2 linked regions of the Diceros bicornis minor genome follow. The protein of the gene in region 1 purifies or fractionates together with the protein of each later gene. This does not show direct contact. Links are inferred from orthologs where the notes say so. Each region holds a gene or a part of one and is shown on either strand. Other genes may lie near its edges. The genes, in order: GNG8 and GNB5.

Region 1 (11,336 bases):
TCAAGCCCCAACTGGCCAGGAGGCGTCACCTCTCGTGCCTGTGTCTCATGTCTGCAAAATGGGGATAAGCAGAGTCCCTTTGGCTATCGGAGAATTAAGTGAAATGTGAAATGAGACTCTTGATAAGAGAGGACCATGATGAATCCTCATTCTAGCTCTGGCCTACCCCTCCCCCAGACCCCCAGCCCCCCAGCCGTGCCAAGCACTGCTCTGAGCGTGTGGGGTGCAGATGGGAGACAGCCTTGGAGGGGCGGCCAACGCCCTCAGGGTTTGGGGTAAAGTGGGAGGGGACCACTGAGGGCGCTCACCTCTCTGCCTCTTGGCCTGGCTCTGACCCCAGAGACCTCATGGCTGGGGGTGGCAGGAAAGAGCAGCGGGCGACCAGAAGCTTGTGCTGCAGAGTCATACCCACTAACAAGGTTATCTGGGTTTGCATGCGTGGAGGCTGGTCACTCGGGACCTGCCCTGTCCCTCTGGCCTCTCCTCCCTCCCAGCCTCAGTCGTGACCAGGTCCAGGCTCGCTCAGCCCCCCTCCTCCCTCTCCCTCCTCCTCCAGGCAGACATGTCCTCTGGCCGCCCTTCCTTCCCCACATCAGGTCAGCCAGCTCTGCTTGCTCCTCCTTGGATTCCATTCCTCAAGACCAGGAAGGCGCAGGAGGAGGAATCTATGCTACCCCGCCCCAAGACCCCAGGGCTGACAGGGTCCCACTCCCACAGTCCGGGATTTAAGTGCCGAGCTCCGGGTCCTAGCTGGACAAGGCCGCAGGACCCCAGAATCCTGGCCCCACAGGATTGAAGGACTCCAGAATTCCAGCCCTCCAAGGTCCTGGAATTCTAGATTCCTTTGCATTTCAGGTTCTAGGGTGCTGGGCCTGAGAAATTCCAGAATCCTTCCGGCAACTTCCCTCCCAGCCTCCCTGCCCCCCAGCTCATCCTTGGCTCTCTCTGTCCCCCTCTCTCCCCCGGGGCTCCCCCAGACATGATGCAACTAGGTCGGAGCCAGCTGAGAGGTGGGAGGCAGGAGAGAGATGTAATTACAGCTGCTCCTGATCAATGCAACAGGAAGCTCAGAGTGGGGACCCAGGGGACCCTAATCCGATGTGAATAATGGAGCACTTGCCAGACGCATGCACAGCCCCCTCTGGGGAGGGGAGGCCTGGTGAGCCGGCTCCATCCAAACCCAGGGGTCCAGCCTCAGTCAGCCCCAAGCTGGGGAGCAGAGGTGTTAGTCTTGAGAGAAGAGGAGGTGGGGGTGAGGAGAGGGGACAGGGTCGCGAACTCAGAGGCCCTCAGGCCAACCAGGTAAAATAATTAACCAAACCCACAGCTCACCCAGTCTGCATTTCCTCATTTTCAACAGACGTGACACTTTTCTCCTCATTCCACCCTAAGAAGCCCCCAACACGGGCTCCATGATAAATAACAACTGGCCCTCAGCCTCCTGAACCGGGAGACAATACGGTACGGTGGGGCCTTGGGTGAGCTGGAAAGTCCAGGTCCCATCTCATAGCCTATGGTCACCCTGTGGGGCTGTGCAGGTCTGAGGTCACCAGACTTTCCAATTCGGGAGAAGCTAGAAATAGGGACTTTTATATGATGTACTCCTATTTTTCAATCTGGCAACCAAGTCAAGAACATTTTTAAACATTATGTAGGCCAAAAGAAGAGAACCAAAAAAATATAACTGCAGGCTATCTATGTTCCGTAGGCCACCAATATGTGAAGTGGAAAACATAGGGCCAGTAACCGGAGCTGTCACAGTCACCCCGGTGTCCCCAGGACAAAGAAAATTATTGTTGAAGGAAGAAATGTACCCATTAATTTGTCTCTACCTCTAGCCAAGCTTCTCTCTTCTCCGGGTCCCCAAGTTTTATTACCACCATGTTCCAGCTTAGATGTCCCCTCCTCCAGGAAGCCCTCTATGCTGAGTCAGGCACTCCCTCTGAGCTCCCCCACCCCAGCCCTGCCCACTCGGGGTGTCACTATCTGGGGACAGATCTGTCTCTCCCACTGGATTCTGAGCCCCAGGAGGACAGCAGCAGGGCTGTCCCCATCACAGCCATATCCCTAGCTTCACCCAGCACAGGGTGGGTCACAGAGTAGGTACTCAGGGAGTACTTGGAAGAAGGAATAAATGAACAGAGTTCAGTGCTTAAAGACAGAGGTAGCCCTGCAGCAGGCGGCAGCCAGATGGGAAAAAAGGGGGTCCTGTCATTCAGGGGATGAGAAAAGTGGGACCGGCACCCGGGCTCCCAGGAGTCTCCAGCCCAGGACTGAGCAGAGGAGCGAGGCCAGCTGAGGGTTCCGACAGCGCTGGAGTCCACAGTCTTCACCCCATTACCTCCTGGGTGCCAACACACCCAGCATATCCTCACCCCCACCCCTCCACATCCCACACGCACTCAGAAGGAATGAGAAGGAACACAAATCTGCGCATGCCTCAGTTTCCCCCGAAAGCACGGGTACCACCAGAGTCACCACGTTTATTGGTTTCATACTGTGGCAGGGGAAGGTAAGCTGTCGGGAAGGCTCAGAGCAGGACGCAGAAGAGGCGCTTGTCACGGAAGGGGTTCTCTGCGGCGGGCACCGGCGTCACCAGCGGGTCATCTTTGGCGTGCGTCTCGCAGAACGAGAGGAGCTCGGCCGCCGCCTGCGACACCTGCGGGCGCCCGGGATAAGTCCACGCCCCGCCCCGAGGCCCCGCCCCCGGGCCCCTCCAGGCCTGCTCCTGTCCCGGCTCCGCCCCTTTCCCGGTTCCGCCCCAGGGCCCCGCCCCGGGCCCGCCCCTTACCAGGCTCCGCCCCTGTCCGGGCTCCCTCCTCTCGCCCGGCCCCGCCCCATCCCAAGGCCCCGCCCCCGGCCCGCCGCTTATCAGGCTCCGCCCCCGTCCGGGCTCCCTCCCCTCGCCCGGCCCCGCCCCATCCCAAGGCCCCGCCCCCGGCCCGCCCCTTATCAGGCTCCGCCCCTTTCCGGGAGCCCTTCCCTCGCCCGGCCCCGCCCCGTGCCCCGCCCCAGGCCCACCCCGTACCAGGCTCCGCCCCTGTCCGGGCGCCCTGCCCTCGCCCGGCCCCGCCCCGGGCCCCGCCCCGGGCCCGCCGCTTATCAGGCTCCGCCCCTGTCCGGGCTCCCTCCCCTCGCCCGGCACCGCCCCGTCCCAAGGCCCCTCCCCCGGGCCCCGCCCCGGGTCCAGCCCTGTTGGGAACAGGATCTTCCCACTGCGGCTCCGGGCTCCACCCCCAACCCCGCCCTGTCCACACCCTGGCCCCGGAGCCCCCGCCTTCCTCCCCACCCTGACCCGGCACCTTCATGCGGTCGATGTTCACCTCCAGCTTCAGCTGTTCCACCGTCTTGCGGGCCTCGGCGATCTTGGCCATGTTGTTGGACATGGCTGCGGCGGAGAAGGGGTTAAAAGCCGGGCGGGAGTGGGCGTTGAGGGGGTGGGCTAGGGCAAGTCTGGGTCCCCAGGTAAGGGTGGCGGTGGTGGTGGGCCCCAGTAACAGGGGCGTGGGTGGAAGGGCGCACGGATGGGGTGCCCAGAGGCAGGTGCAGAGAGGGACAGGAAAACAGAGGGAAAAGGGGAGGGGTGAAGAGACGCACAGATGAGGGCCCAAGAGGCAGGCCGAAGGAGGGACAGTTGAACAGGGACGAGAGGGGCAAGAGGAGGGCTGGAGGGGTGCACAAATGGGGTACCTAGAGGCAGGTGGAGGAACAGAGAGGGGCGAGGGAAGGCAGGAGGGAAGCACAGATGGGAGGCTGAGAGGCAGGTGGAGAGGGAGACAGAGGGACAGGGCCACAGGTGCTGGGTGAGGACCCAGGTGTCCTGGGCCCCCGGGGATAGAGCATGAGCCAGGAGGGGGCCCCTCCCCAGGCCAATTAGCGGCGGCTCCAGGGAGAACAAAGAATTAAGATCGCCGCGGGAGGGGCGCAGAGGGGGCCTCATTAGGGCCTTGGCAGCAGCTGCCCCCTCCACCTCCTTCGGGGGCCCCCCCACCCCAGACCTGGCCACCTCAAAGGCTCCTCTGCTCATTAGTAGCCGGAGAGAGGGCTGGGGGGACCCGGGGGGGGCCACACCGGCCATGACTGGGAGAGGGGAAGAGAGGATGGAGAGAGAGACAAACGGAAGGGCAGAGACAAAGTGACAGAGGGAGAGACTGAGGCACGGGGGAAAATAAAGAGACTGAGGAGGGTGAAGGAGAGATGGAGAGATGGGGGAGGGATGAAGTGATGGAGGGAGTAGAGGGAGGGACAAATAGAGAGGCAAAGGAAGGGACTGATGATAGAGGGGATGGAGGCACGGGGGGACAAAGTGACAGAGGGGGACAGAGAAGGGGAGCTGGAGGGGTGCAGGAGGGATGGGGTGGGAGAGGACAGAGAGGGACAAATGGAGGAGTAGAGGAAGGGACCGGATAGAGGGCGAGAGAGAGGCACAGGGGGATACAGCAACAGAGGAGAGAAGGAGCAGGGGACAGACAGAGGGAGATGGAGGGGCTGGGGGAGAGCCAGGCAGATGGAGACGCAGAGGTATAAAGTCATTCATTCGCTCATGCATTCGTTCATTCCCAGGCGGACAGACTGTGGCCGGATGGGCAGAGGGACTAGCTGTTGGGGTAGGACTGGAGCCTCCTACCTGTTGCGACTCAGGGCTGGGATGGCGGGCGGGTGGCAGAGGCTGGGAGGCAGCGTCTGGGTCCCCTGTCCCCAGCCCCGCCCCGCCCCCTCCCCCAGGGCGCAGCCCCTGAGGACCCGCCTCCTCCCTCCACCACCACTGGGTCTGTCTCTCTGGGTCCTCTCTCTATGTCTGTCCGTCCCCCTCTTCGTCTTTCTGTTTCTGTGTCTCTGTCTCCTGTGTTGTCTGTGTCTCTCTCTCTCTCTCCCAGTCTCCCCTAGCCATCTCTCTCTATCCCTGTCTCTGTCTCACATACAAACACAGACACACAAAGACACAGTCTCTCAAGGCGTGCCCCACACCCTGCTGCACTTATTGCACAGTCACACAAATCTCTCCTGTGTGTCCCACATGGGCTCTCACTCCGTCACACATGCTCTCCCACCCTGTCACACCCACCACCTCAGTGTCACCCAGCTCAGACGACCCCTCTCAGCACACAGACTCACACTCGCCGTCCCTCACACAGAGATGCACAGTATCTCGCTGGGGCACCCAGTGTTGCGACACAGTCTCACAATCAACCTGTGCTCAACACACAACCTCCCACAGCGCCACAGTCACAGGGTCTCTCACAATGTCACTCGTGGTCCCTCACCATCTTTCATAGCATGGCACATCATCACCAATGACGTCTTGCACAACCACAGTCAGATATACCATCTCAGGGTGTCAAATGTACAAACAGTGTCACACACAATCTCTCAAGGTGTCACACACATTTACATGAATTGAGACTTCAAACCTCTTTGTCAAGCACTGTCACACAATATTTTGTAGTCTTACACAGCAACACACAGTCTCACATCCACTGACTCCCACATACAGCCACGCTCATTCTTGCACAATCTCCCGCTGTCACACACAATCTTACACACATTCCCTCACACACAGTCTGTCCCACCACACACACTGTCGTGTACAGAATCTCTTGCTGAGCCTCACGCAGTCTGTCGCACACAGCTGTCACCCTCACACAGCAATCTCGAGTGTTGCACACTTACACACACATGGTCTCTCTTGTACTCTGAGCTCTGAGTGCCCTGCACAGTCACACACTCTCTCACGCACTGTCACAACAGTGTGTCTCTCAGTAGCCCACACGATCTGTGTCACACATTGTCACACACAGTGTGTCACAGTTCATCAGTGTGGCTGACACGTACTCACACAGTCTCTCTGTCACACCCAGTCCCCCCAGCCTCTCACACTGCCTTCTTGGTGTATCACATTCATTCAGTCTCACTCTCTCTCACACATCACCTGTTTGTGTGACACACACAGCGCTCTTGTCCTCACCATGTTGCACACTCACAATCTCTCACTCTCACATATGGTCTCTGCATGTCACAGAGTCCCCCAAATAGTGTCTCAGGTACATGCAAACTCAGTGTCACACACAGTCCCCTATACATCATCTCTCTCATCTCACATACAGTCACACACACATCCTCTCGGTGTAACACACGATTTCCCACAGTCACACCCAATCTCTGTCACACAAAATCTCACAAGGTCACACAGCAGCACACAACCTCTGGCGTCACGCACAATCTCACAGTGGTACGCACTCACACCGTCTCTTGGGGTTACACACCATCTCCCGGGGTCACCCACGGGCACCCACAGTGTCCCTCCTGCACGGGGCACAGCCTTCGGGAGCGCACACTCAGCTCTCTGGCCTCTCTGGACAGCCCCGGTCAGCCACACGGGGGCGCCCGCGGCCCGCCGAGCCGCCCACCCCGCCGGCGCGGAGGCCGTAGGGATGGGTGGGAACCGGGAGGGCCAGGCGCCCCCGCGCGGGCCGGCCGGGGATGCAGGCAGCGGAGAGAGAAACAGAGAGAGGCGGAGGGGACTGGAGGGAGAGCACTGAAGATGGACTGGGACACAGAGAAATTCCGAGAGAGGCGGAGATGCAGGCAGAGACAGAGAGCCGCAGAGACAGAGGGGCACAGAGACGGAAATTTGGAGAGAGAGAGACCTAGGCACTCAGAGAGACAGAGACAGAGGATTGCAGAGAGAGACACAGAGACATGCAGGGGGCAGGAGAGACACACAGAGTCAGAGGCAGGGACCGAGAAACACAGACACCCAGAGACAGAGATAGACGCGGGCAGAGAGACAGACACGCAGACCCAGCCTTCCGCAGGGGACCTGTCGGCAGAGGCGCGTCCCAGGGGCGTGGCCGGGGGCGCGGGCCCGCGTTCGAAGGGGCGTGGTCCGGGGGCGGGGTTTATCAGGGGCGTGTCCAGGGGCGGGCTGTTAGGGGCGGGGCCTGGGTGCGGCGTGCCCCGAGGGGCGGGTCTTGGGGCTGGATCCCAACAAGGCCACCCGAGCCCGCTGCGGGGGGGGCGGAGGCTGAAGCACTGGGAAGAGGTGGAGGTGGGGGAGGAGCGTCTCTACCGCAGTCTGCCCATCCCAGTTCGGTTTTTACCGCCTGGACAGGGAAGGGAGACAGGCAGGGAGGGGACACCGGCCTGGGTCCTTAGTAGCGATTTGATAGGGGGGTATTGGACCCTGGCTCCCCTCCCCCGTCCATCGCAGGAGAATCAGGGCCAGGTGGGGGAGGGGAACCAGGCTCACATCTGGAAAGCATCAGGCGCGCCGGACGTGCCAGGGCCCGGGGCCCGGCTGCGGAAGGGGGTAGGGAAGCTGGGGCGCCCTCGTCCCCCCCCCCACCCAGCGGGGTCTGCCGGCGCCGGGGAGGGGCCTGGGCGTGCGCCGAGCCTGGGCGCCTCCTGCAGCTGGTTTCCATCAGCAGTTTTGGCCTGGGCGGCCCTCGAGGAGGAAACCCAGCCTAAGCGAGGGAAGACAGGGTGACGACCCAATCTCCCCTCCTCCTCCCCGACGGCAGCCGGAGGCTGGGAGGCGGGGGAGACGGATGGACGACACTGCCTGAACCCAGCGTAACCTCCATTTCTCTGCCGACCTGCGGGCCTCGGCCGTCTGTCCACCCTACGCATAACCTTAGTTTCCAGGTGTGCAGTCCTGCCCCGTGCTGCACAAGAATCGCCCCAGCCTGCTGACAACCTGGTAGTCAGTGGAAGTATTGTCCCCATTTTTTGGAGGGGGCAACTGGGACCCTGGATTCGGATTCAGTCCTGGCTTTAATTATTCAAGAAACGTGCAATGAACGCCAACTAATGCTAGGATCCGGCTCGAATACCCAATCCCTACTGAATAGTCCCACCTGGAATATTATACGGAAGCAACCTAAGTGTCCATCAGTGGATGAATGGATAAAGAAGATGTGATATATATATATGCCTGGTGGGTATCTTAAACTCAAGGCGTCCGAAACTGAGGTCCTGATTCCACCCACCGAACCCTCTCCTACCGCAGTCTTACCTGTCTCAGTTGATAGAGAATCTTCGGGTCATTCTTGACTCTCCTCCCTCTCTTGCACCCCAGAACTGATCTAGTAACAAATCCCATTAACTCCATCTTCAAAGTCTCTCCACAATCCAGTCGCTTCCTACCTCCTCTGCTCCAGCACTCCGGTCCAGCCACCACGCTCTCCTGCCTCACTGTTACAGTCACTCCTCACTGGGTTCCCAGCTTCTACCTCTGTCTCCTTCAGCCTGGTCCCCAGAGAGCAGCCAGAGGGACCCTGTTTGAAACAAAGTCCCCAAATAATAGCAAGTGTTGGTGAGGAGGTGGAGAAATCGGAACCCTCAAACACTGTTGGTGGGAATGTAAAATGGTGCAACCACTTCAGGAAGCAGTCTGGCAGTTCCCGAAAAGGTTAAACAGTTACCACGGGACCCAGTGATTCCACTCCTAAATGTCTACCTAAGAGAAATGAAAACATACGTCCACACAAAAACTTGTACATGAATGTCCACAGCAGCGTTATTCATAATAGCCTGAAAATGGAAACAACCCAAGTGTCCATCAACTCTTGAGTGGATAAACCAAATGTGGTAGATCCAAACAGTGGATTATCCTGTGGCAATAAAAAGAAGTGAAGTATGGACACAGGCTACAACGTGGATGAACTTTGAAAACATGATGCTAAGTGAAAAAAGTCAGTCACAAAAGACTACATATTCATGAGTCCATTTATATGTCCAGAATAGGCAAATCTATAGAGACCAAAGTAAATTAGTGGTTGCCAGGGGCAGGGGAGCTTGGAAGATGAAAGCTAAGGGGTGCAGAGTTTCTATTTGGGGTGGTGGAAATGTTCTGAAATTTCCTCTGCTGGTAGTTGCACAACTGGGTGACTATACTAAAAGCCATTGATAAGACAGCGATGAAAGAAATTGAAGGAGACACAAATAAATGGAAGATATTCTCTGCTCTTGGATTGGAAGAATTAATATTGTTAAAATGTCCATACTACCCAAAGCAATCTACAGATTCAATGCAATCCCAATCAAAATTCCAATGGCATTTTTCACAGAAATAGAACAAACAATCCCAAAATTTGTATGGAACCACAAAAGACCCTGAATAGCCAAAGCAATCTTGACAAAGAAGAACAAAGCTGGAGGCATCAAACTCCCTGATTTCAAACTATATTACAAAGCTATAGTCATCAAAACAGTATGGTACTGGCATAAAAACAGACACATAGATCAATGAAACAGAATAGAGGGCCCAGAAAAAAACCACACATCTATGGACAGCTAATCTTCAACAAAGAAGCCAAGAATACACAATGAGGAAAGGACTGTCCAATAACTGGTTTTGGGAAAACTGGACAGTCACATGCAAAAGAATGAAACTGGACCATTATCTTACACCATACACAAAAATCAACTCAAAATGGATTAAAGACTTGAATGTAAGCCCTGAAACCATAAAACTCCTAGAAGAAAACATAGGTGGTAAGCTCCTTGACATTGGTCTTGGCAATGATTTTTTTGGATTTGACACCAAAACAAAAGCAACAACAGCAAAACTAAACAAGTAGGGCTACATCCAACTAAAAGGCTTCTGCAGAGCAAAAGAAGCCATCAACAAAATGAAAGGCAACCTACTGACTGGGAGAAAATATTTGCAAATCATATATCTGATAAGGGATTAATATCCAAAACATATAAAGAATTCATACAACTCAATAGCAAAAGAACAAACAATCTGATTTAAAAAACGGGCAAAGGACCTGAATCGACATTTTTCCAAAGAAGACAGAGATAGCCAACAGGTACCTGAAAAGATGCTCAGCATCACTAGTCATCAGAGAAATGGAAATCAAAACCACAATGAGCTATCACCTCACACCTGTCAGAATGGCTATTCTTGAAAAGACAAGAGATAAGTGTTGGTGAGGATGTGGAAAAAAGGGAACCCTTGTGTACTGTTGGTGGGAATGTAAATTGGTGCAGCCACTATGGAAAACGGTATGGAGGTTCCTCAAAAAATGAGAAATAGAACTACCATATGATCCAGCAATTCCACTCTTGGGTATTTATTGAAAGAAAACAAAAAGCACTAACTCAAAAAGATACACGCACCTCTATATGCATTGCAGCAGTATTTATAACAGCCAAGATATGGAAGCAAGCTAAGTGTCCATCAATGGATGAATGGATAAAGACGTGGTATATGTATACAATGGAATATTATTCAGCCATAAAAAGGAAGGAAATCTTGCCATTTGCGACAACACGGATGGACCTTGAGGGCATTCTGCTAAGTGAAATAAGTCAGATGGAGAAAGAAAAATACTGTATGATCTCACTTATATGTGGAATCTTAAAAAAAGGAAAAAAACCCGACCATAGACACAGAGAACAGATTGGTAGTTGCCAGACGCGGGGGATGGAGGATGGGCAAAATGCGTGTAGGCCATCAAAAGGTACAAACTTCCAGTTATAAAATAAATGTCATAGGGATGTAATATACGCCATAGTGACTGTAGTTAATAATTTTGTTACTGTATTGCATATTTGAAAGTTGCTGAGAAAGTAGATCTTAAAAATTCTCATCACAAGAAAAAAAATTTTTTTGAAAAAAAGGCATTGAACTCTATACTATTTTATATGAATGAATTTTATGGTACGTGAATTATATCTTAATAGAGCTGTAACCCCCTCCCCCCCCCAAAAAAAACCTAAGTCCCTCTTCTGCTCAGAATTCTCCCATGGATCCCACTTCCCTTGGAATAAAAATCAAAATCCCCCACCAGGGCCCCGCATGATGTGGTGGTCCCTACCATTTTCTGTCCTCACCCCTACTCCCCCCCTCACTCACTGCTCCAGACACGCTGGACTCCTAGTTATTTTGCCAAGAAACCAGGCACTGTTTTGGCCTCAGGGCCTTTGCACTGGCTGACCCCTCTGCCTGAGATGCTCTTCCCCAACCTATCCACAAGTCTCACTCCTTCAGGTCTCTGTGCAAATGCCACCTTCATAATTAGACCATCCCTGATCACTCTACTTGAAATCACAAACTCCCTGCTCCCTCATCCTACCCTATTCCCTCAGACCTCTGCTGTTTTTCCCCATTGTCCTTATCATCTTTAAAAAATTATGGAATTTATTTATTATGTCAACACCCCCACCCCCCAGCTCCATCCCTGTGACCAGTTCCTTGTGCATCCTTCTAGAGATAATCCATACGGCAAATACGCCATGTAGGGCAGTGGTTAAGAGCACAGACTCTCACGCAGCATGAACTGAGATTCTGGCTTTGCTACTTAACACCTTCAGGAAAGTTACTTAAC
Region 2 (13,297 bases), on another chromosome or scaffold:
GGTATAGGCTTAAGGAAGACTTGGAAAGTTCTATGAACTACTGCAGAGCAACTTCATGTCAAAACTTGTTAAAATGAGGCATTATTACCTTTTTCTTGTCAAAATGCTCATAGAAGCATCTGCTCTAGTTGTGAAACGTTTCCTCATCATGACAATAAGTACAATAGAATGTACTAAAATTAAATTTAGCTCATAATATAAACACTAAATGAAAGACATCAGGATATAAAAATATAAACAGTATACATGAATGGATGACCCCAATGGTCCAGAAAATCTGCTCTTGCATATGCCAAAATGTGAAAAGCGTAGTGGGATTATGGGTGATAATTTTCTTCCTTATACCCTTTTGATTTTTCCAAACTTTCTACAATGACCATGTATAACATTTATAGCTGTAAAATATTATAATCTTTCAAATTTAGTTTGTAGCTTGCCCATGTTTAACCAACCAAATCTAAAATGCTAGCCAAATCTAAAATGTGATATGATATAAGGTTGATATGACTCAAAACTTTTGGTCTCCGTTAAAAAATGTTGTTTTCTAAGAATATGCAATGACATGAAGACAAAAACACTATTAGGCAAAAAAATGAAAGTTCAAAATTGTAAATGGCACAAATTCTGATTTTTAAAAAAAGTATACACATATATGCTTATGAAGATATTGGAAGAAAGTATGCTAACAGGTCAGTTATTTGTTGGCACAGGAATAATTTTCCTTCTTCATGTTCTTCTGTTTCCACTTATTTACAATGAACATGTGCAGCTTTTATAATTTGAAAAAAAATTAAAATTCAGTCTGGGAAGGAAAACGTTGTCTCTATTCAGATTTGGCATATCGACAATTTGTTTCCACTTCTCTTTTTCTTGATCTCCCACAACTCCCAGCCATCCTTCTGTTCCTTCTCCACTTGGTCCCTGGGGCTCCTCTTCCCTTCCGTTCCTGCAGCTGCTGCTCTCTCCAGAGCTCATCTCCTCCTCCCCAGAACATAACAACAATCTCTTAGCCTAGTTGATGTTCCTGCTGCACATTCTCTCTCTGACCCACTTCTGGAAGCGCAAATGCTGGAATAATCCACTTGAATACCCATGGCTCACCTTCCTAATGCTATTACTTGGAGACCCCAGCACGGCCTAAGGTCGGTCGGGCTGCCTTGGCAGGCTCAGGAGGGGAGGGGCAACGTGACAGAGCCCCCGCCACGGGCCGGGCTCTGTGCGCAGGCCCTTTTGTGCTGGTTAACTCGCTTGCTGGGACAAAGCTGAGCAACTTGATCGTGCTGCTCCACAGTAAGGGTTGCTGAGTTTCGCTACCTACAGGTTCAGGCTCCACCGCCGACCTTGAACTAGTTGTTTAATCCCTCGACTTTTCCTCAGCAGTAACACAGATGTCCTGCCTCCCCGCTGCCAGGGTGGCTGTGAGAGTTCAGGGCCGAGCGCTCCACGGTGGTCAGTAGCTGGTTCCCTTCTGATCTCTCATGCCTAAAGGACTGCCCTCTACTCCTTTGTCACCTAGTGATCTCAAGAACTATGCCAGCTGCCCCTTTGCTGTAGGAGTTCAACCCAGTTCATGAGCTCCCCATTCTCTCTCCAGCTCCACGGTGACCTCTGCAGTGTGGACATTCCCTCTCAGAGGTGTCCCCACTGCCCTCTCCTCCACAAATACATCCCTTTCAAATTTGGCTCTGTTGAAATATTCAGACCAGCGCTCCAAAAAAACTCAGAGGGTCATTTCTTTGAACCTTGACAGGGCCCGCTCTTTGGAACGCCTATTAAATTGGTACGGCTACAAAGTCTTCTCCCTCCCACCTAAACCTCCTCGTCCTCCATCTCTAGCAGTCGCACCACAGCCCCTCAGCCTCCCAAACAGAAATCTAGGAGACATAGACATCTCTGTCCCCTCGTTCCCGCATGTCGCCAAGTCCAGCTCCTCCTCCTCCTTCATAAGTGTGGTCCAAATCCATCCCACAGCGTTGCTTTAGTTCAGGCCTTCATTGTGTCTTGCCTGACCTGTGGCCATAGGCTCTTCTCTGCTCTTGCTGCATCTCTGGCCTCATCCCCCTTCCCTCCCCTCCTTCCTGCTGCTGCTGTGGCAGCCACTCACAGGGCAGCATAACATCTATGGAGCATTCAGTATATTCCGGCCTTGACCTAAGTGCTCTACGCACTCTCTCTCATAATTCGCCTGACAACCCTATGATGGTAGGTTTTAAGATCCTCATTTGATAGATTAGCAAACAAAGATTCAAAGAGGTCGAGTAACCTGCCTAAGCAGCGCGACCCGGACCCAGTCAGCCAGAGCCAGTACCCTTCTCCACTAGATGGTTTTGCTTCCTCAAGTTTGCGCTCCCTTCTGTGGCCTGGGCCTGTCTGTTGACTTCTGGGTGGACAGGCAGGGACTCTGGGTGTATGGCTGTTAAATGTTTAATAAACGGGATGCGTTCCTTGCAGGGAACCAACACCGCATTTACCTGGCCTCGTGGCATTGGTCGGGGTCAGGCTCCACTATTTTCTGGCTCTTGTTTTTACTCCAAAATTCACCCTGAGAGGAGGAATTTTTTTTTTTAAGTTTTAAATTATAGTATCCATTACAATGACACTGTCCACTGTGAAGCCCCACGGGATTAATATTGTGCTGCAAAGATCAATTGTGACCGAGTCTGCAAGCTGCCAAAAACCGGTTAAACATGAGTTCAGAAAACCTACTGTCTGACTCTTTCTTACTGATTAAATAAGTGAGTTGGGGTTGACCTAGCATGTTATAATAAATCACAGGTTACAAATTAACCATATATTCTTTATCCCACATGTAGGAGTTGGAGTAACTACGTGATAAAGGAAGATGAGGTTTTACAAAGCTGTTTCTGTTGGCTTTTCTCTCTCACACATACCTTTTTTTTCTCTCTCCCTTTCTCTTGCAGCTTCATCTTGGGTAAAAGATGTGTGATCAGACCTTTCTAGTTAATGTATTTGGCTCCTGTGACAAATGTTTCAAACAAAGGGCTCTGAGATCGGTTTTCAAGAAATCTCAGCAGTTCAGCTACTGTTCAATATGTGCAGAAATTGTAAGTGCCACTTTTTAAAAATTTAAGTAGTTACCTGTCTTACAACGATATCTAAGGTGAGGGTCCTGTGACAGACGAGTTGCCGTAGAATCAGTTTACACACAAACATTTTCAGCACACCTGGGCTAGGTGGGCCAGCAGACCATGCGGGTTTAGGGTGTGGACTCTGGTCTCTGATCGCCTAAGTTCAAATCCTAGTTATGTTGTTAGGTGATGGTATGCCAACAGATCTTGCCTCTCTCAAGAGATCTGTATTCCCATCTGTAAAAGAGGAAAAACAGCATCTATCTCACAGGGTTTTGTGAGGATCAAATGAGTTCATTTGATAAAGTGTTTAAAACAGTATGGTGCACAGGAAGTGCTCAATGAATGTTTTAGCTATTATTATTTTTTAGCGCTAATGCTTTTTTCTTCTGTCTTCTACTAGTCTGCTTGGCAAGCAACCAAGCTAAAAGGGACTCTGAGAAATAAATAGCCTGGGAGCACCTTTCCAGTGGTCCTGTGCCAGCTGTCCCTAGGAACAGCTCTATTCAAGATCCAACCAGACAGGGCCTCAGTAGCGAGCAAAATTAAGCTCAGGGAAAAGTGCTCCTTGGGCCTAAGCCTTCAGCGAGGGCTAGGGACAGGACACAAATTCTGGCATTTGTCAAAGTACACAAATCAGTCCTCAACAGGCTATGCACAGTCTTCAGATCTAGCAGCAAAAAGGGCCACAGCATGGCTGAAGCCCTAGGAATTATTAGTCCTATCTCAGAGGATGTGCAAAGCAGTGCTCAGTAGCGCAGCTGAGTGGAGCCTCCACCTGGTCAAAAGCAGTAAAGCACTCTTCCCCAATAGCCCAATAGGAAATCCCCAATTATCAACACATTAAAAAAATACATATCAAAGGGAGGAAAGATGACATTTACATTTTATTCAACTGAAGAGGAAAGGCAATATTCATCCTCCTGGTCCCATTGTAACCCCTGACAGTGATTACATTTTAAAACGTTATTCCCATAAAACAAATGGCAGGTAGACAGGACAGGGTGACACACAGGCTAGTAATCACAGAGGTACAGAATAGTAATCCTGAGGTCTCAGGATTCAGGCTCAGGGAACGGGCTTCTACCTGCAGCACATTATGTTCTAAACTTGGTTCTGCAAATTCTCAAACTGAGGACATTCAGTTCTTAAAATAAATCTGCTTTTTGGTGGCCCTACCATCCTGGAGCAGTGCTAGTTATTAATCTAGCTCTTCTGTTTTTTAAACAACTTCCTGTGTGGACAGCAGGAGCCCAGAATGCCAGACATGGGGTCCTCTGAGGCATCATAGATTCTCAGCAGGTCAGAGGCCCTGCCTGGAGATACTCTTCAGGGGACTGTTGCCGGCTATCTCCACCACAGCACTTCCCAAATATTCAGACAGACGTCTTTGGCTGAGGAGACATCCAAATGACGGACAGCTGACCTTTTATCCAGGTGCTTGGGATTGTGTAGACACAGCCCCCAGGGGACCCTTTTCGTGAGTAGGGGCAACCCTGTACCTCCACCACCCCTGAAATCACCTTTTCTGATCTCCAGCTTCCTCACTTATGAAAAGTAGTGAACGCCAAAGTACAGGAAGGCACTTTGCAAACTTTTCCAGCCATTAAAAAGTTACATGGCCTCATCTCTAGATGGTAGACTCTCCAGATGGGAGGGTGTTTGGGGTTTATTTTACACAGAGAACCTCCAGAGGAGGGCACACAGCAGTGTGACACTCCACTCACCCCAGGTCTTCAGAGACAGGTAGACCCCGAGGCAGGCATACACACCCCATGATGGTCCAAGACGTGTCAGCCTGAGGAGAGGGGGAGAGGATGCTGCTTTGCCTGGGCCTTCTGAGATGACCCTGTGAGAAGCGTTCCCCGTGACCTAGTGTCTCATTTCAATGACTTCATGTGAATTGCTCAAGTGTATCAGGTAGCCTTAATAATAATAGCGAGCACATACTGTGTGCCATGCATTGCTCTGAATGCGCTACGTAGTCACTCTTGACAAGGACCCTGTGAGGAAGGTGTTATCTCCATTTACAGATGAGGAGCCTGAGACACAGAGAAGTTAAGTAAATCACTCAAGCCCACACAGCACAGCCAGGATTTGCCCCCAGGCAGTCTGATCTAGATAGAGCCGATGCTCTTAACCTTTTGCTCTACCAACTCTGAAACAGATCTAATGTTTTTGCTTTTGTAAATGGTTGAATGTATCTAGAACATTTATATATTTTGTATCTCATTTTATATGTTTTATTTTTAATTATATATTTCATATATATTTACATATTTTGTTTTATACATCCATTGAATAAACTAACATTAACTGAGCACCTGCTATATACCAGTCATTAGGCTAAACACTGAGGATAAATGATGAATAAACCTTATTGATGGGTGGGGAGAAGGGAACTGGCAGTTAATAAGCATCTGCTGCGATGGAGCAGTTGGCTAAGAGGTTCACGCATATCATCTGATTTAATTCTCATAACAGCCCTGTGAGGTAGACGCCATGAAGTAGATTTTCTAGATGGGGAAACTGAGGAGCTCAGAATCTAACCTCCCAGACAACTATGTGTAGACTAATATAGATTACTTCCAACTTTTCTTAGATAGAGAGGGCCTACGACATGTCAAGGCTGGATTCCTCAAGAAGAAGGGGTACAAAGAGGGTGGGGATAGCACCCAAGAGTCTGCGTGGAGACGTTCACTTAAGCATTTGTAACCTCGATCTGCCTTCCCATTCTGTAGAGAAACACACGCGTGCCAGGTCATGGAGCTGGGAGGAGGGAGAAGCCATGGGTTGGGTCCTCCACGACGAAGTCCGGAGGCATGGAGCCGAATGGAGCCAGAAAGCCTGGGTCCAAATCCTCCCTTTGCCTCTTTCTGGGAGTGTGAACGGATTAAATCATTTAATCTTTCTGTGCCTCAGTTTCCTCATCTGTAAAATGGAGATGATAACAGTACCCATTGAGGGTGACAGTTGTGAGGATTAAAGGAGTTAATGTAAAGCACTGGGAACAGTGCCTGGCCCCGCAGGGGACTGGAAGAGGGGATGCTTGAGTCTGCCGTCAGTCACCACATTTGTGTCCTTGAGAGAACTGCAGCCGCCCTTCATTCTAAGGTGGGGGACGCTGCCTCACCAGTGACACGTCCGAGATCTCTGGACGTGGGCTTGGAAGCCCCGGGTCTGGTCCCCTGTGCACCCCTCACCCAGCCAGGGACTTAATTCCCGAGTGAAGAAAAGAAAAGCAAAAACCAAGAGCAGGCCTCCTAATGCCACAAAGACCCCAGAGCTTCTCGGAAGCCGGAACTAGTTTTATTTTTGTATATTTAAGTCAACCAAGGAGGAAAGTTTCCGGTTCGATGTCGGGGGAGCACCCGGGATCGGGCCGGGTGTCGTTGCCCTCTCCTCTCTCGTCCACTCTCTGCAGGTAGAAGCCACTGGCAGGGAATCAAGTCCCCGGCGGCGGGGGCGGGGGGGACTGTGTCACTGGGACTTCACCAGACTCCCAGGGGCCAGGCAGCCCTGGGTTGGAATCCCAGTTTGGCCCTTCACTACGTTAGCATCTTCCTGGCAAATCACGGATCATCTCTGAGCCTCGGTTTTCCCAGCGGTGAAATGGGCACGACGCTCCGTGCTTCTCCGGGGTGGTGTGCGCAGCGGCGCTAAGGCGGGCAGGGCCCGGGGTACTGCGCCAGGGCGCGCGCAGGAGGTGCCGGGGCGGGGGGCGCGGGGCGCGCGGGCGAGGCCGGCGCAGAGGGGGGGGATCGGCCGCCGCAGCCGGCTCGCGGCGGCCGCGTCAGCGCCGGAGGGCGGGGCGCGCTCGAGAGACGGCGGCTGGAGCTGCGCCCGCTCCCCGGCCGCGCCTCCGTCGCCCGCTCACCGCAGCCCGGCTCTCCGCTTCCCTCCCCGCCGCGTCCCCCGCGAAGATGGCAACCGACGGGCTGCACGAGAACGAGACGCTGGCGTCGCTGAAGAGCGAGGCCGAGAGCCTCAAGGGCAAACTGGAGGAGGAGCGGGCCAAGCTGCACGACGTGGAGCGTGAGTGCGGGCGGGGCGGGGGCTGCGCGCCGGGAGGCGGGCCGAGGAAACGAGACAGGCGCCCGGCTCCCGGAGGAGGGGGCGGCCCGGGCCCGGGGCGGGGGCCAGGCCTGCGCCGTTCCGGGGATGCGGGCCCCGGTGTCCGGCACCAGGTGAGGCGCGGGCAGCGGCCTGGGGGGTGTGGGGCCCGAGCTGGGCGGCCCTCGGAGGCTCCAGGCACCTTGCAGAGCCCCCGCCCGCCTCTGGGCGGGGGAGCCCGGTGGTGTCAGCCCCTGGCCTCTATCCTCCCGACGAAGGATCGTGGGACCGGTTACTGTCACCACTTTCCTGGAAGATGCAAACTGATCCCATCCCTGCCCTTCCCAGGCGGGGCGGGGTGGAGGGGGTGGCAGTGGTGGCCAGCGCAGCGAGCCCGTGTGCGCGAGGCCTAGGGTAGACTCCTGTTTTGTTTTTTAATCATTTGGCTTTCTCCGTCACTGCCGTGTCTTTTCTCACTTTTGCTTTTACAAGGAATCAGACTCTTTTTTTAAAAGCTAATTTTTCCAGTCTCCCCCTCTCCTGGTGGCTGCAGAACCGGATGGGGGAAGGGAAGCCGAGGAGCTTACCAAATTAACCATTTAGTTCATTGAAGGCTGTTTAAGAAGCTTTTTTGGATGGATGCAGTGTGATTGGCATAAAAGAGCAATAGCAATCTTGAATAAATTTACGTTGTTGACCACTACCATAGTTCAGAACCGGTCTGTGATTTTTAAGAGTGAACAGTTAAAAAGCCAGATTAAATAGCTCTTGGCGGGATCAGCTTCCCTTTGACCTGTCAGACGGTTCGTCCTCAGCAGAGCTTCGGTCCGGGCCAGGCTTGGGGAAGTGGCCTTGTCTGCTTACTTTTCAGCTCTGAGGCTCGCGGCTCCCCTTTCCGAGCACAGCCTCCCCGTAGTGCCCTCAGGTACACCTGTACATTGTGCTCCTGCCACTCCTACTTGGTACCACCCCCTTTAAATTGTGTTTGAAAGAGAAAAATGGGGTTCATGCTAGGTCCCTTACCACCTGGTTCCTTTCTTTGAAAATCACTTGAAAGAAGCAGATGACCTAATCTAGAGTATGCTGTGCTTTTATAGGGGCCTCCTCTAAATAGGAGGCACACTAAGCTCCTATGTCATTTAGAAATGTGTCCAGCTACAATTAACTATAAATCCCAAATAAAGGAGTTAAGCAGATTGAGAGTTATTTTTCTTACATAACAAGAACAAGGGTAGGCGATTGCCAGCGCTGGTTCAGCTGTCCAATGTGCCGTCAGGGACCCACACTCTTGTCTTTCTTCTCCACCACCCTGAGAGCGGTGGCATTTGCCCCATAATTATAATATGACTGCCACAGCTCAAGACATCACCTCTGTATCCAGGGCAGGAAGAAGGCGGAATGTGGACACCAACCTCTATTTCTCCTTCTTGTCAGGAAAGCAAAAGTTTTCCCCAGAATGTCCCTTACAGACTTCTGTTTGCACTTCATTAGCCAGAACTGGGCCACATGGCTACTGCAATGGAGACTGGGAAAGCGAGAACGGAGCTGGGCACATTGCCATCCCCAAACAGAGCTGGATTTCAGGGAGGAAGTAGGTAATGGATATTGGGAGGCATGGGACAGGGTCCGCCCCATTTCCCTTTACAAATTCCTACTCTCTGCAGCTGATAACGACAATGCTGTAAGCGTGGCATTAGTGCCTCTGAGGTAGGCCGTCTGATTTCTCCATTTTACAGATGAGGAAACTGAGGTACAGAGAGGTGAAACGACTTGCCGGAGGACCCCAGCTAGTAAGTGGTGGGACCAGGATTCCAGCCCAGCCTCAAGTCAGCTTTTCTGCAGAGCCCATTGTACTCTATGCAGAGGGCCTTCTCCAGAAACTCACGTACTCAGCAGTGGCAGGCTGCCCACTCAGATGTCTTTCAGCCTTTTCTGTGAATTGGTAAATTGCCTTAAGGCAGAGAGGTTGTCAAGATGCAGCTTTTCAACAGGGAACCCCTCTCCTGCCAAGGATGCAGTGCCCTCAGAGGCCAGGGCCAAATTTTGGACCCACAGTGGAAGGATCTATCCCCACCTGCATAAGTCAGAACTTTTGAATTGAAAAGACCTGGGGCCGGCCTGATGGCATAGTGGTCAAGTTCGCGCTCTCTGCTTCTGTGGCCCGGGGTTCACTGGTTCGGATCCTGGGCACGGACCTATGCACCACTCATCAAGCCATGGTGGCAGGTGTCCCATATATAAAGAGTAGAGGAAGATGGGCACGGATGTTAGCCCAGGACCAATCTTCCTCAGCAAAAAGAGGAGGATTGGCAACAGATGTTAGCTCAGGGCTAATCTTCCTCACCAGAAAAAAAAAAAAAAAAGACCGGAAGTCATGTGGTCATGTTCCCCTTTATTCCCCCTGCAGCTTCTGGACCACTTCTCCTCCATCCCCTCTTATCCTCCCCTCATGTAAAACCCTTGCTCCTTTGAAGTTCCCATTATTCAGCTGACCTACCTCTTCCCCCCTGTGTGCTGCTGTCTCCTGACCTCCCAGCCAGGCTCCCTCACTTCTTAAGGACTTTGGCACATGGCTTGAGCCTTCCTTTTGACCCTAAGCCCTGCCCCATCCCCGGTGTCTTCAGGGTCCACAAAGGTGACCCTCCTAACACGCTGGCCCCTCACTCCATCACAGCCCCCTGGGATCTTCTTAGCACTCAGAACTGCCCCTCCTCTGACTGCACTCTCTCCCACGGAGATGTCCATGATCCAGGATCACTGGGCTCTTCTCTCTTCCAGTCTCTCAGCCTCTCCCCGAGACTGCACATTTATGCATTTCGGTGTTGTCGTATAGACAGCCCTGTAGCCCCTCCCCTATTCGAGGAAACTTCTATAGGCCATAAGCTAAGGTGACTACATCATCTCGGTTTGCCCGGGACTCTGGGTTTTAAAATGGAAAGTCCTACATTCTGGGAAACCCTCAGTCCTGGGCAAACTGGAACAGTTGGTCAGCCTTCTGTTAGCTCTGACTTGCCCAAAGTCTTGCCTTTAGAAAGTCAACACAACAAAATTGTAGAGCATACACTTGGAGGAAAAGTGAGATTTTCCCAAGTCCAGACCCCCACTTCTTCAGCTCCCATCCCTTTGACCCTCAGACCAGCGTCTATTCTGTGGGGCCCTCATCCTGAAGTCAGACCCTTGGCTGACATTCAATACAGGAGTGGCTTAGACGGGTGGTCTACAGGGAAGCCAGCCTACGTCCCACTCCACAGCCCAGCCCCGCGCCCTGCCCCTGCCTTCCCCCTACTCCTCCAGCGCTTCCTGCTTCTCCCTGGAAACTTCCCCTGTCGCCTTCTGCTTACCTTCCACCAGGGGGAAGTGCTCCCCTGCGTGATTCTAAGGCATTTTAGAATCACTAGGTTGCAGCTTGTGTTAGTTTCCTGTTGCTGTTGTATGACTTCCCACAAGCATAGTGGCTTAAAGCAACATAAATTTATTCTCTTACAGTCCTGGAGGTCAGAGGTCTAAAATGGGTCAGCAGGGCTGCATTCCTTCTGGAGGCTTTGAGGGAGAGTTCATTCCTTGCCTTTTCCAGCTTCTGGAGGCTGCATTCCTTGGCTTATGGCCCCACATCACTCCAACCTCATTTCCATCATCACCTTTCCTTCTTTGACTCTGATCCCCCTGCCTCCCTGCTCTAAGGACCCTTGTAATTACATTGGGCCCGTCTGAAAAATCCAGGATAATCTTTCCATCTCCAGATCCTTAACTTAATCACGTCTGCAAAGTCCCTTTGCTTTGTAAGGTAGCATATTTGCGGGTTCCGGAGATTGAGATGTGGACATCTTTGGAGGGCCTATCACACAGGTCTTAAACCTGGAAAGGGCCACCTGCCTCAGCCTCAGTCTTCAGGCACAAAAAGTTTTCTTCTCTTCCCAACAACTCAACCCCTTTTCCTGTGGGATGAGGAAGCAGCTGAGATCCAAGGAAGGGTTTGGAGATTTCCCTAAGGTTATGCAGCCGCTGTAAAGGAGAATGGGGAGTAGACTCCAGGCTCCTAGTACAGCTCTCCCTCTGACCATGCCAGGCCACATCTCAGCAAGTTAAGATTTACATTTAAAAGGAAGAAAAGTAAATCTGTGTGTGTGTATACGAAAAGGTGTCAATATTAAGTAAAAAAAAAAAAAGAGAAAAAAGAAAAGTGCCAAACAGTGTATATAAAATGATCTTATTAGCTTAAACAAGAGATGCTTACATATGCATTAAATTTCTGGAAGGATACACAAGAAACTTGTCATCTCTAACAAGGGGTCCAGAGGGGTAGGGGGAAGCAGAGGTACTTTATATGCATCTGGGCATTTACTGCTTTTATAATAAAAAGGAAAAAATGGTCTGGGAGCAGCCAGAGCAGGAGGGCACCGTGTTCATTTCAGCCAGCATACACGGCAGCCTCGTGGGGCTTTATGGGGGCTTCATCCAGATTCCCAGCTCCTCCGTGGCAGATTCTAATGTTGTCTAGGAACGAAGCAACTCAAAGAAGATTTACGTAATTTCTCTAAGTACAAATCCAGACGAAGTTTGGGCAAGTGACAAGATTTATCATCAGATGCGATTCGCTTTTCTATCTGCTCCAGGTGTAACTTGGTGAAAGGTTTTATTCACAAAGGCTCTATGGCTGGAGCCTTGGACTCTTCTGATTTTATGATGTAGGGAGAAATCTAGAAAAGGCAAATTTCGGGATTAGTCTGAAGCAAGTGTGTTGATTCACTTTTTCCGTGTTCTAAGGAGATATGCCGTGTGTACTGAGGCTTAGAGAAGTGAGCTTCCCTACAGAGTAATCCACTTCCCAGCTGCCCCTCCACATGTCGCCCGCAGCCCTCAGAGGGAGCAGAGGGCAAACCGCCTCTCACGTCCCCTCCCTTCCCAATGCTCTGTGTTCGTAACTACACACGAGCCAGCTAGTGCAGGGGTCTCTACAATCCCATCATAATAAACTGCAGCCTACTGCAGTAGATTTAGAAACATAGAAGAAAATGTCATCCACGACCGCACCACTGAGTGGTAGCCACTTTAAATATTCTGATGTATTTCATAGCGTATGTTTTCAGGTTTGTGTATCTATTTGTAAGCATACTTGGGATTGTACTAGATACAGAGTTTGAGCCTAGTTGTAATTTAACATAATGGATTGAACAGCTCCCCATGTCATTATATGGTTCTTTTTAATGTCAATATTTAAAAATTATTATACAGAACCATATAGTATTCCGTCTTAAAGGCTGTACCATCACTTAACCTTTCCAACTTTTAGGGAAAGTTGCCCCTACCCTGCCTTTTTTTGGGAATTCAGGGCAGGATTTTTTGTTTGTGGTTAAGATAAGGTTTTAAGGCAATTCGAAAGTCTCTGACAAGCACCATTGAGGTAATGTGAGTGTAGATGTTTTCCTTCCATCCAGATGTTTCAGGGTTTTGTATTCTGCCTTGGGGTAGAATTGGACAGAATGAGTTTTTAGAAATTGGTTTTGGGAGCCAGCCCTATGGCCCAGTGGTTAAGTTTGGCGAGCTCTGCTTCAGCAGCCCGGGTTCGGTTCCTGGGCATGGACCTACACTACTGATCGGCGGCCAAGCTGTGGCAGCGACCCACATACAAAATGGAGGAAGAAGGGCACAGATGTTAGCTCAGGGCAAATCTTCCTCAGCAAAAAGAGAAAAAAAAAATTAGCTTTGGATCATTTTTCCTCGATTCCTTTGATCTTCTACCAAATGGTGGCCAACAAAAGGCTGTATATTAGTGCAAATATTAGACAGTGATTCAAGATCATTTTTTAAATAGTTGTATTTTCCTATTTAAGACATCTTACTTGTCTTTAAGACTTTGAACTTGTCTTCTGTATTTCCAGTCAGTTGCACAGTGTTCACGTTCAGGGAGATTTTAGGGCTTGTCCATGCTCAGGTCATTCTTTTGATGGTCTTGTGGAATGATGAGAAGGAGCCTGTTGCACATTTCCACTTTATGAATTTATATGGTTTGGATTCTTGTGTATTGACCTGCACACTACATATTTTACTTTAGGTTCCTGTGTGCACAGATTATAAAATAAATTGCAAAACCATTTCCTGAAAGTTGAGAGGAAGCCACATCTTGATGAAAAGTTCATCTTTGCCTGAAACCAGAA

What was found.
Region 2: the proteins of GNG8 (region 1) and GNB5 purify together in Homo sapiens (co-immunoprecipitation; 3 studies listed by BioGRID and IntAct, with this or other methods). This does not show direct contact. The link is inferred for Diceros bicornis minor from reciprocal best matches to the Homo sapiens genes GNG8 and GNB5.

The regions. Positions count from the first base shown.
Region 1 is NC_080773.1:22,192,375-22,203,710, forward strand, and holds GNG8 (guanine nucleotide-binding protein G(I)/G(S)/G(O) subunit gamma-8), read right to left. Parts: upstream 3,387-11,336; coding exon 3,303-3,386; intron 2,660-3,302; coding exon 2,531-2,659; 3' UTR 2,457-2,530; downstream 1-2,456. UniProt on the Homo sapiens protein: Guanine nucleotide-binding proteins (G proteins) are involved as a modulator or transducer in various transmembrane signaling systems.
Region 2 is NC_080744.1:48,138,034-48,151,330, reverse strand, and holds the start of GNB5 (guanine nucleotide-binding protein subunit beta-5), read left to right. Parts: upstream 1-6,951; 5' UTR 6,952-7,012; coding exon 7,013-7,124; intron 7,125-13,297. UniProt on the Homo sapiens protein: Enhances GTPase-activating protein (GAP) activity of regulator of G protein signaling (RGS) proteins, such as RGS7 and RGS9, hence involved in the termination of the signaling initiated by the G protein coupled receptors (GPCRs) by accelerating the GTP hydrolysis on the G-alpha subunits, thereby promoting their inactivation.